2 linked regions of the Drosophila melanogaster genome follow. The main gene of each other region encodes a partner of the protein of the gene in region 2 in a complex. Each region holds a gene or a part of one and is shown on either strand. Other genes may lie near its edges.

The links. Proteins that work in one complex are often made in the same cells at the same time.
Region 1: msl-3 (region 2) and msl-2 share a complex: the UniProt entries of both Drosophila melanogaster proteins name them as parts of the male-specific lethal (MSL) histone acetyltransferase complex.

Annotation. Positions count from the first base shown.
Region 1 is NT_033779.5:3,461,504-3,468,351, reverse strand, and holds msl-2 (male-specific lethal 2), read left to right. Parts: upstream 1-2,239; 5' UTR 2,240-2,300; exon of another isoform or gene 2,301-2,433; 5' UTR 2,434-2,712; coding exon 2,713-4,645; intron 4,646-4,697; coding exon 4,698-5,086; 3' UTR 5,087-6,134; downstream 6,135-6,848. Other genes in the region: Pif1 DNA helicase, read left to right, coding at 1-501; ND-PDSW (NADH dehydrogenase (ubiquinone) PDSW subunit), read right to left, coding at 1,098-1,219, 1,290-1,565, 1,936-2,017; CG3246 (uncharacterized protein), read left to right, coding at 6,501-6,582, 6,646-6,848. UniProt on the Drosophila melanogaster protein: Limiting component of the male-specific lethal (MSL) histone acetyltransferase complex, a multiprotein complex essential for elevating transcription of the single X chromosome in the male (X chromosome dosage compensation).
Region 2 is NT_037436.4:7,122,211-7,127,388, forward strand, and holds msl-3 (male-specific lethal 3), read right to left. Parts: upstream 3,324-5,178; 5' UTR 3,213-3,323; coding exon 3,111-3,212; intron 2,994-3,110; coding exon 2,815-2,993; intron 2,749-2,814; coding exon 2,191-2,748; intron 2,133-2,190; coding exon 1,636-2,132; intron 1,581-1,635; coding exon 1,496-1,580; intron 1,441-1,495; coding exon 1,323-1,440; 3' UTR 1,003-1,322; downstream 1-1,002. Other genes in the region: form3 (formin 3), read left to right, coding at 1-747; BBS1 (Bardet-Biedl syndrome 1), read left to right, coding at 3,716-3,995, 4,059-5,126. UniProt on the Drosophila melanogaster protein: Component of the male-specific lethal (MSL) histone acetyltransferase complex, a multiprotein complex essential for elevating transcription of the single X chromosome in the male (X chromosome dosage compensation).

The DNA of each region.
Region 1 (6,848 bases), on a different chromosome or scaffold from region 2:
GGACTGGTGAACGGAGCTCGAGGCGTCGTTGTAAGAATGGAGAAGGATCTGCCAGTGGTAAGGTTCAAAAACAACCAGGAATACGTTTGCAAGCACGAAAGGTGGATAATAAAGACCGCCTCAGGAAACCATATAACACGACGCCAAGTGCCACTGAAGTTAGCCTGGGCATTTTCCATACACAAGAGTCAGGGACTAACCCTCGACTGCGTGGAGATGTCCCTTTCCAAAGTATTTGAGGCTGGACAGGCCTATGTGGCCTTATCCCGTGCGAAATCCCTGCAGTCCATTCGCATCCTGGACTTTGACGCCAAGCAAGTGTGGGCCAATCCACACGTGCTGCAGTTCTACAAGGGATTCAGACGCAAGCTAATGGACACAACCATGATACCATTGGGTCCCAAAAACAAGGACAAGAAGCCAGGAGACAAGGCCGCAAATAGCGCTCTGGCTAAGCTCAAAAAGAGTCTCATCAACAAGCCGCTGGTCTCGATTAGCTGAGCTCGAAAGTAATCTAAGATAGCGTAATTCTAGAAAGCTTGAACAAATTTCACTATTGCCTATCTATTGGTATCTATTTCTAAAAGTGTAATTTTTTCTTTTTTTAAGAAAAGCAAATGATTTATGGACTGTGCATTCCTTTTTTTAAAAAATGAGAAATTATGGAACTCTTTTTGAAATTGTCTAAATTTTCGAAAAAGTCTGAAGAATTACAGTGTGAGTTTTATGATTTATCACTATATTCTGTAAACTTATTGCAGTACGCAGGCAAAAACTTTATTTTACTCACTGGAACAACTTAACCAAGGCTCTTAATCTTGAGAACTATTAGTTTTAAGCTAGTCTATAGCCAAAATTCTATATCAAACGCCAATATTAATATTTATTTTAAGAAAAACATGACTAAGAATAAATGCAACTAATAGACAAATGAATTGAAACTGCTGTAGTAATAAATAATTCCTAGTAGCTCTTACCTTATAATTTACACTGAAACAATTGAAAGAAAGCTCAATCCTTGGGAATATCGTTTTACGGCGTGTATATTTTGTTTTAACGGATAATGAAACTAGAAAACATCATCATAAAAGCGGAGTTTAATGGGCGGCCTCCTCCTTCATGCCACTGCCCACTGGTCCATGACGACGCTCCCAGATCAGACGATGCTTCTGCTTCATGTACGCGGTCTTGGCATTGGCGTAGCCTCCCAAGTCGCCATCTATAATGGGTTATATCTCGTTATATATCACATACAACTTTAAAGAAGATGGGTAAGGGATTCCACTCACACTTGATGAACCAGTTCTCGGTGGCCTTCTCGTACTGATCCATCAGCGGCCTGCACTTGACCATGTGATCGGGTGCCTCGTAGAGGGTGCAGTCCTCGAAGCGCTGGCGCAGAATGTTGACAATCTCGTTGTCGACCATGCGATCCCGGCGGAACTGCTGATCGGCCTCGAAACGGCAGACGGCATCGTCCGTGTAGCACTGGTCGATCGTCGGAACGCGGCGGAAGCGCTGGTGGTACCAATTCTGCTTCTGCTGGTTCGGCTCCACAATGCTCTCTGTGGGATTAACACAAGGCGCATTAATAAAATATACTAGCTGTAATGCATTTCTGTTGAAAAACATGATCCCGCTTTGACTAGATGAACTATATAGTAACGGACGGCATTTAAGGGCTGCCGACTAGTATTCTAAGAGATTTAGTTTGCGCTAGCTAGAAATTACTTAAAACGGTTGATTATAAACATTTTAGCATTTCAGCAATACAGTGTAAACAAAAACAAATGGACTGCGAGTTGAGGTTATGTCATTATGTAATTGTCTGGAATTTGTCCGGTTTTTCCGATCGTTGGCCAAAGGAAACGCAAACTTGCAGCATCTGGAGACTCCCATGACCATGGCCATTGGGAATCCCTGTGGACTACATACCACGGAACCAAGTTATGGGTCCATCGATGACATTCAGCACCGACTCGGCAAAACTGGCCATCGGACTGCGCGGTTCCGGCATTTTCTGGCTCTCCTACCACCTGGCGTAAGCGGAAGAGCTGTTAGTAAATAATTTCCAAGGTTTTCCGCTTTCCTTTGACGGAAAATACTTAAAAAACCATATTTACTTGAAAAACTAAGTGTTAAAATTTGTTGTAGGACCGCAGTTCGTAACTGCGAAAATTCCTCAGAGCACTGAAATCAGCTGTTCGAGGTAGTGGTCACACCTATGCCGCACTGCAGCTAGCATGTTCGCACTGGCACACTGCGGTCACACTGGCTTCGCTCAGCAAAATATTGCTTGGGTAATTTTTTTTTTTAGTTGCTAATTTATTGTTTTCAACGCTGTTGCACAGTGTGCAGCATAACCATTAACAATGACTTGAGACCTCTCAAACGTAAACCAATTTTTTTTTTTTTTTTGCACGTGAAACATAGTGATAACGAAGCCACAAAAGTGAAACCAACAAAAAGCGTTCCAGTAAAGTTACCATTAGATAATGAAATCGAGGATTAACGCGGTCTAAGCATGTGTAACTGAGCTCCTACGGGCGAGGAATTGCAGGTAACTAGCCCAGGAGGCACCAGGTAGCGGAGCAGGTGGCGTGGGTCGGACCGACAAGGCACTTACTTGGCCAGCGGAGTCTCACTTTTGGGCTGAAAAACGTAAACAAACAGCGGCGTGCGTACAGTCCCGGGCATAAAAATATAGCCATCATGGCCCAGACGGCATACTTGAAGGTGACACGCATCGCGATGCGCTCCGCTTCGAATCTTTCCAAACGGCGGGTGGAGGAGCTGAACTCCGGGCTCGGCGAGCTACGGCAGCTGCTGTCTTGCGTGGTCTGCTGCCAGCTGCTGGTGGATCCCTACTCGCCCAAGGGCAAGCGGTGCCAGCACAACGTGTGCCGGCTGTGTCTGCGCGGTAAGAAGCATCTGTTTCCCAGCTGCACCCAGTGCGAGGGTTGCTCCGACTTCAAGACCTACGAGGAGAACCGTATGATGGCCGCCCAGCTACTGTGCTACAAGACGCTGTGCGTCCACCTGCTCCACTCGGCATTATTTGGTGAGCTGGCCGGGATGCGGCCCCAGGTGGCCAGGGAGCTGGTGCCTCGCATCAAGCTGCCTCCCAAAACCACACAGGAGTTCATTCGCGAGGGCTCAAACATCTCCGACACTTTTGACATCTTTCTGCCCCAGCCGGATTTGCCGTTCCTCAAGGACATGCCCACATCGCTGCCCGCAGAGACGCCGCCTACGTCGGCGGTCACGACTCCGGAACTGCCCTATGATCACCACCTCAACATCAGCGACATTGAGGCGGAGGCGGCGGCCACAGCGGAGCAGGGTCACTTCTCGCCGCTTCCCCTGCTGCCCACAGGATCTCGCATGGGCATGCTCTCTCACGCCGGGCAAATAGTCATTGCCACCGAGAGCTCGGAGTCGGGCTTCATGGACCAAGCGTGGACGGATCAGGTAGACCTGTCTGGCACGGTTTCGGTGTCCAAATACACAAATAGCGGCAACAACTTTGCTGTCTCCTACGTGATGCCCACTTCTGCGACCACGAAGTTCGATCCACAGGAACTGCAAATCGGCCAGGTGGTGCAAATGGCGGACTCCACTCAGTTGGCTGTGCTGGCTGCCGTTGAGGAGACCGTCGAGACGTCCACACAGTTGACTGTGCTCTCCACCACCGTTGAAGAGACCGTTGAAACATCCACGCAGCTAGAAGTGCTTACCTCCGCTGAGGAACCCAACGAAATCTCTGATCAATTGGCTAATCTGCAAGTTGAGGAATCTGATGAGGCTCTGGTTGAAGAGACCGTTGAAGAGGCCGAAGGGACCTCAATCCCGTCAGAGGTTGTAGCTGAGCACATGGAGGAGGATCAACACTTGGATGTGCACACTTCACAGTCACCTACACAAACCGAAATGGAGGAAGCAGTGGAGGAGCATGTTGCCACAAAAACACAATTGGGTCATGTGCAAACAGAATTGCAGGATGCGGAGTCGTTGCAGAAAGATTTTGAGGACGCAAAGGCAGCGGCTGAAGAGGCGAAGGAGAAGGAGAAGGACCTGCACGCAATCAGTGCTGAGCTGCAGAAGGAGGACAGTGACGAGCCAACACTTAAGCGAAAGAGAACCCGTACTCTCAAAGCGTCACAAGCTGCCAAAATTGAGCCTGTACCGTCTGAGGTCAAGACTAAAGTGCAATCTGGAAAGGGCGCTCTTCGCAGGATTCGGGGCAAGGACAAGGAGGAAAAGGTGAAGCCTCCGAAGCCGAAGTGCCGCTGCGGTATCTCCGGCTCGAGCAATACCCTCACCACCTGCCGGAATTCCCGATGTCCTTGCTACAAGAGTTACAACAGCTGTGCCGGGTGTCATTGCGTGTGCTGCAAGAATCCGCACAAGGAGGACTACGTTGAAAGTGATGAGGACGATGATTTGGAGGATTTCGAAATGCCGAAGGACGTTCCAGAGCCGATGACTCAGTCGGAGGAGCCGGTGGTAGCTGAGCCTAGGCAGGAGGAGAACAGTATGGCGCCGCCAGACTCTTCTGCCCCCATAAGCCTAGTGCCGCTAAATAATTTGCAGCAATCCCAGCATCCTTTGGTGCTTGTTCAGAATGAGAAAGGCGAGTACCAGGGTAAGTTACCTCATCGCTGTGTTAGACCTATCTAACCCTGTTCCAATTGCAGGCTTCAATATCTTCCAGGGCAGCAAGCCCCTTGATCCGGTCACCGTTGGCTTCACTATTCGTGTCCAGCTGCAGCACACCGATGGCTTCGGTTCCCTTCCCCAGTATGCTTATATAATGCCAACAATTGACCCGCCGAATCCACCAGCTCCATCACTTTCGCCACCACCGCCTCCTGCTCCTGACAGGGAAGTCATCGAGCCACCGGCCAAGAAATTCAGGACCAGTCGAACACGCCGAGGAAGGGCCAACTTCTCGGCCCTCGACACGGTGGATGAGCTTGTCAGTGGCGGATCCAGGAGCAATTCTGCCGCTGGCGACAGATCATCGGCCACTGACAATGCCCATTCACTGTTCGAGGAGATCATGTCGGGCTCGGATGACTTGTAAGCAAGACGACTCATCCCTATATGTTTGTTTTTTTATGTGCTCAGTGATGTCCAGGTATCAATCCTTTAATAGATAATTTTTATGTACGTTATGGATGGTCGAATTCAGCACTGAATTGCATCCATAACGTGGTATCGTCTTTGATCCTCTTATCATACCCGTTATTCGTAGAGTAAAAGGGTATACTAGATGTGTTTCCGACCATGTAAAGTATATATATTCTTGATCAGGATCAATAGTCGAGTCGATCTGGCCCTGTCCGTATGAATGTCTCGATCTCAGGAACTATAAAAGCTAGAAGGTTGAGATTAAGCATATAAATTCTAGAGACATAGATGCAGCGCTTGGTTGTTTACCCATGTTGCCACGCCCACTTACCGCCCAAAACTTCCACGCCCACAATTTTAAATTTTTTCTCATTTTATTTCCCAATATCTCTTGGATATCCCAGAAAAATGATGAAATTTCGCGTTCGTATTTCCACTAGCTGAGTAACGGGTATCTGATAGTCGGGAAATTCGACTTTAGCATTCTCTCTTGTTTTTAACTTGTGGTTTCGTTATGCTATATATTCCCCCACTCAAACAACTTCCACTCAAATCAACTCCCAAATATCTTTTAGGAGCATTCTACAATCTGATTTTTGTAATCATCCAGCAAACGTTTCCAAAACTCAATTTTTTTTTAATACGTATTAAGCCAAAAGTCGTATACATAACTATTTAAAGCAATTCTGCAGCTGCAGCAAAGATAATCTATTTAAGAGTAAAGCATTAGTCAAAACTAAAGATTATTTTCGTTCAACGAACAGCGAATTATAGATTGCTTTGCCCAAAATGTGGATGCTGTGAGCTAAAAAAAACCTTTTTTTTTAATAGGCTAAGACATTTTTTTGAATAGGCTAAGACTTTTTTTGAGCATGAATTTTTTTGAGCACGTGAACCTAGGATTAAGAACAACAATTCAAGTAAGCCATATATACCCATATTATATATGCGAACATATAACTATTAAAATATTCAAATAAAAATGAGCATTGCTACTACAGAAAAATGCGCGATTTTCTTTGGGTTTCAAAACCGTTTTCGAACCGTAACACTCTTTGCCTCATGCAAGCTGCTAGTTCATGATTTCTAGAACATCGTTCCTGGGAGTGGAGTGAGTTCCATGAGTGCCTACAATGTGCTGGCCGCTTCCGCTCACTTAAGTCACTCAATCTCAATTCCGAGTTTAATCAGCAGCTCCGCGAGCAGAGTCGCCCTTAGATAAGCGGATCGCCGCCTGCGGCTCATCATTATCTTTTGATTAACGCGCCAGTCGACAGTGCGTGTTTGTTCCGAGTAGAGAACGGAGGCTGGCGCGTTTTCTTCCATTTTCCAACTGATAAGCAGAAGCTCCAGCTAATCCCCGAAAGATGAAGCCGTTGATAGTGGTCGTGCTCGTGGGCCTGATGGCAAGTGGCTGCCACATTGTTCACTCCCAGGAGCCTGGCGATGGTAAGACGAATTCCAGTCTGAGCTCTACCGGAACTAAGCCACTCATTAATGACCTTTGAGCAGCTGTGGAGCAGGAAGCCAGCGAGTCGGATGACGCACTTAAGATCAAAGAGAGTCAGGCCAGCATAGCCGCCCAGGTGGAGGCCATGCTCGTGCACTTTCAGCAGGAGGATCCGCAGGGTCTGCCCGGCGTGCCCGTGCCCGATCCGTTGGAGGTGCCCAATGTGAAGAAGAGCATGGGCATGGCCAATCTGGACATGAAGCAG
Region 2 (5,178 bases):
TTGGCCGATCGCCTGCAGCAGGCCAGGATGAAGAGTTCCGGATCCTCAGGATCGGCAGCCAGCAAGTCACAAAACCAAATCCCTGCCACCCAAACTGCAACGGTCAAGAGGAGCCTCTCCGCCAGCAGACCGCTGCGCATGCCCAACGGTCAGCCGTTGGCCAGTGCAGCTCCGCTGAGATCCGCATCCACTGTGAGACGCTCGCCGCAGGAGCAACAGGTTCTAGCCGGCGTGGAGCGGAGCAGTTCGAGAAACAGTCTGCGCTCCTCGCGATCGTCCATCAACAGTGGAGCCTCCACTCAAACTGTAGTGAGACGACTGCCCGCCGTTCAGCGAGCGGGAGCCACTGTGTCCGTTGACTCCTCGCCCAGCAAAAGACCACTGGCCGCCCAGAATCTGCGACCTACCCAGGGACGTGGAGTCCCCGCCAGCAGGAGCAGCAGTAGCGGGTCGAGTGTGGGACCCAGTGTGATCTTGGTGCGCAGCAAGATGTCCAACACGGCTCCGAAATCGAGTATCCATGGTAGCACCAGTTTTAAGGAAAACCAGTCCCAGTCCCAACCCCAGTCACAGTCCCGAATGAGCGCCGCTCGCAGCGTGGTGCTGGTGAAAAATGCCCTGAACCAGCAGCAGCAGGCCAGGATGAGTGCGAACCCCAGTCCGCAGCAGAGGAGCACTAGCAGCAGTCGATCCGTGAGCAGCTTCATGCGACCCACGGCCAGCAGTGCCACCAAGCGACAGAAGTGAGGGCCGGCAGTCCAGTCCAGTTCAGTCATCGTCCAAGTTAACGTCCCAAGTTTACACATGTTACAAACGCGAATGCATCCAACTCCAAGCCGTCCAAGCGACAATTTCGAATTTCTAAGCAGGATCTGAAACACAAATCAGCACACACATAGTTGTTACAGTTGCAATATTTTGAGAAATTATACAAATCTTAAGAATTCCCTGCACATTCCAACTCAAGGTCCGCAAATCCTTAATACAAAAGACAACAACTTTCCAACTCTTAAATATATTTGAGCACAAAAAACAAGGCATGACAAAAATACTAGCATGTACTACTCAACTAAAACTTAGGTTAAGCAAAAAAAAAAAAAAAAACAAAAAAAAATGTTAAAATCGTATTTTCAATATTTAACATATATAGTTATAGGCATTATTCGATTATACGATCACATTAGGAAACTTTTTTATAGAAGTGCGTTGTTTACAAAGTGTGTAGTTGAAGAAACCAAAACGACAATTACAAATCTTTAAATAAAAGAGCATAAGCTTTAATCGTAATAATAAATAAACTAGATAACTACGATCAACTAAAGCTAAGCAGCAATCCCATCCAGGGAGTCCAACAGCTCCCGCTGCAGATCTTCCTGGGGCAGGGCAGTGGAGTTAACAAAGTTTTCCCTGTCGAACCACTCCCTGTGGTTCTCCAAGTAGCTGAAAAACCAACAGATTAGCTTCGTGATGGACTAGGGAGGGGTCTTAGACTTACTTGATGAAGGCGTCGAGGTGGGGAAGTAGATCTTCTAGCTTCTTGTTGCTGATCGGCGATGCGTTTAAGAACATGGGCATTTTAACTGCAAGTACCATGAATTAATGTGTGTTATAGAATGCAAGAAAGATTGTACATACTCATTAGCCTAACCAGGTGGGGAGCGCCAAAGACCATGGACTTTTCTGGCGGCGATTCCGCTGACAAAAGCCGCCACTTGAATGTTTCGTTCAGAAATCCACGCATCTCCACGGGCAGTTTGTAGGCAGCCGTATATGGGGAAGTCCTCTCATAGGCCTGCGCAGTGTTTTTCCCGCTGGCGGTAACAATGTAGAGCAGGCATTTTTGCAACTGCTTCTCGTACTCCGGACCGCCGATATTAATAACTCCGATCTGTCCATTGGTGTCGCCCGACCCTTCTACCACTGGCGTGCCGTCCAGACCGATCAGTTCCGTGTCACCGCTGGGATTGATATACTCGTACGACTTGTTCAATATTAGGCTGCAGTTGCGCATGTTGTCGTCTGTGAGGTAGTTGTGGACATACTCCTTCTCCTCCGTATACAGCAAGTGGTCATCCACGTGGAACTCAAAGTAGATACGCAATCCGTCTACCACCTCCTTCAGCATGCAGACACTGTTAATAAGTAAGAGTATAAGTGGGTTGTTAAGTCTGATATTGAGTGGTAACCAACGTGGACATAACGCGATCGTATTCCCGCTCCATTCTGGCATTGCGACTCTGCGTGTTCCTGGCCCTCGAGCTGTCCTGTTTAATGCTAATGGCTAGCTCCACGGCCTGCTGCTTGACGAAGTTTTCCATGATGGTCACGATGGGCACGCGGGCGGGCAGTGCGTGCTGTTTGCCTAGTACCTTGATCATATTCCGATCGTACTCTATAAGCTCTCGCAATCGCTCGCTGACTCGCATCATAATGCGATCCTCCTGTGGCACATGGTTATAGACCGATACATCATTTATGGCATTGTTATAAAAGGTCTCTGTTTGTCTGCCCCGGTTTCCCTTTAATCGGCCATCTCCGGACGGGGGTTTTTCCTTTCGCTTGCCACCGCTGTTGTCCCGCGTCCGGTTGCCCGCTGCTCGTGGAGTGGGCGCCATTTCGTGCTCCGCCTCAAGATGTCCCGTGTCCATTGGAACCACTATTGGCTCCTCAACGTGGGCCGCTTTTCCGCCGCGTTTCTTCTTGGCCGATGGCTTATCGGGTGTGCCCTTGTAGGAGTAGTCACCACGACTGTGCGAAAAAGAAGGGGGAACTCGTTAGAGAGGTATTCCACGCATGTCTAGGGGGTTATCTTACATTTGCAGCTTGGCAGCTTCGGCCAGCTCCCTTTGCAACTGGCGATTCTCCTCGGTGTCTTTCAATAGAACGGTGGCGCGCACACAGCGATCGTAGGATGGACGCCAGCCCTGGAAGTGAATCTTGTACTCGTAGAACCTCAGGCCATGCTCGTTCCGGCGCTCAAAGACGTTTAGCACCTGCGGCATGTACGGAAAATTGCGGGAAACGGAAAATCATTTGTGAAAACTTCGCCTACGACGTTTGCTTGACATTTCAATGCGCGCGCGTGTGTGTGTGTGTGCATGTGTATTTACCTTGCTGGTGTAAAGAACACGGGCCTTCGATTTATCCGGCTCGTAGCAAAGGACTATCTCGCCCTTGTGAAAGAGCGGTGTCTCGTCCCTTAGCTCCGTCATTACTTGCAGTTAAATAGGGCCGTAGTCAGTCACTTATGTATACAAAATGTTAAATATTGAATTCAACTGCTGGCGTCGCTGAGATGATATTTATAACGAATGTTTTTTGCGATAAGCAATTGACGTGGGTATCGAATATTCCCTCGCACTTATCGATAACACATACTGTCGATGCTTGCACGTCTTTAGCAGGCCGGCCTTAAGTGTGACCAGACAAAATGCATTTTTGGCGGCCAATTTAAATAAAATTTTCTATCATCAGTAATTTGATCACAGTTTTACCTTTTGCCAAATGATTTTTTAGTTATACGTAGCTTTACCCTGTTAGCATTTAAGAATAATGCTGACGATCATTTTGTGTTTTTAAGAAAAAACCCAAATAAGTAACAAAAAATGTGCTGTCATCCCGGTTGCTAAGGACAAGAAAAACCAAAACAAAAGCATGTCCTGAATCACCTGTTCGTTTTCACACTGTGCTGCAAATTTTTCACCAAGATCCTGCCATGGCCGGTGCTCCCAACTGGCTTCACGTGGACACGGCGGAGGAGGCTCCTCCACCGCATCTCACCACCCTCACCAGTTGCATGGCCCTGAGCGACGTGCAGTGCGACGGATATGTCCGGCTGCTGGCGGCGGACATTTCACTGGACAATGCCGCCGAGGAGCCCACTGCCACGCTGAAGGTTTTCCGTGGTCTTAAACTCAAGCACGAGCAGCCACTGCCGGGGATTCCAGCGGCCATTGAAAGTCTCTACATCGACGAAACGGAGCCCAAGACGCCGGGTAGAAATAACGTTGCATTTTAATATTTTTAAATTAGATTCCATAATGAATACAATTTTCCAGTAATTGCCGTGGCCATCGCTGAGTCAGTGCTCTTCTATCGTCACCTAAAGCCATACTTCAAGTACACGATTCCCGCACAGGACTCCGAGGATCTGGAGCTGGAGGTATGGCGAAAACTGCCGGTTGTGAAGCCAAGTGCCCATCCCGCCCTGCTTGACTCCCTAAAAACCATAGACCACTCCAAGCTGTCGCGGAAATCGCAGCGACTTCTGCAAATGGGCGAGCAGGAGCGGGAGCACTTCATTGCCACGCACAAGGACTCCCCAGTGGGTCGGGTTGGCAACATTGTGGCCATGTGCTGCATAAAGCGCATCTCCAGCGATGCCAATCCCCCGTCCCACTTGGTCCTGGCCACCGATACCGGGCACATCATGATCCTGGAGCCGCAGGGCTTCAATTTGGTTTACCAGGGCAAGGCCTGCGATGATGAGACGGCCGTGCCGAGCCTGATCTCCGTGCAGGGAACCTTTGAGACGGATTTCTGCATCGTGGTGGCCACGCGAAATGGCGGTGTCTACCTCCTGCGGAAAAGCCAATCGGAGGGACAGGAGATCTTCAAGCTCGGCATCCCCCTAACCGGCCTCCTACTGCTGCCCATCGATCAGACGATAATCGCCTCCACCATGGACAATCGCTATCTGTGCTACTCAAAGCGGGGCAAGCTGTTATACCAGGTGCCCATGTCCGATCTACCCGTTTGCCTCCTACCGCTGCCCTTGACCCATCTGGGACTCACCCTGGTGGCCATTGCCCTTAGAGGAGGAGTGGTCAAGTTTTATTTGCAGCGCTACCTCGTCGACGAGTTTGTTCTCGAGGAGACGGTGGATGCCATGCTGTACGGACGAATGGGCATGGAGGATCACGTCCTCACGCTCGTTACTCAATCTGGTGGTATCGTGGTTAAGATCCTGAGACGTGTGTCCCGCTTTGAGCCCAAGGCCGGTGATTTGGCGAACAAGCGAGCATTGGGCGATAACAAATCCATCGTGGATGCCTCGATTTTGGATAAGCCCAAGAAGAGCTCCATCTTTGTGGAGCAGGCGGCAAGGGAGAAGCAGCAGGCCAAATGTAAGTAACCCTCTTATTTTCATAACACAATTTTATATAGTTATTGTTCTAA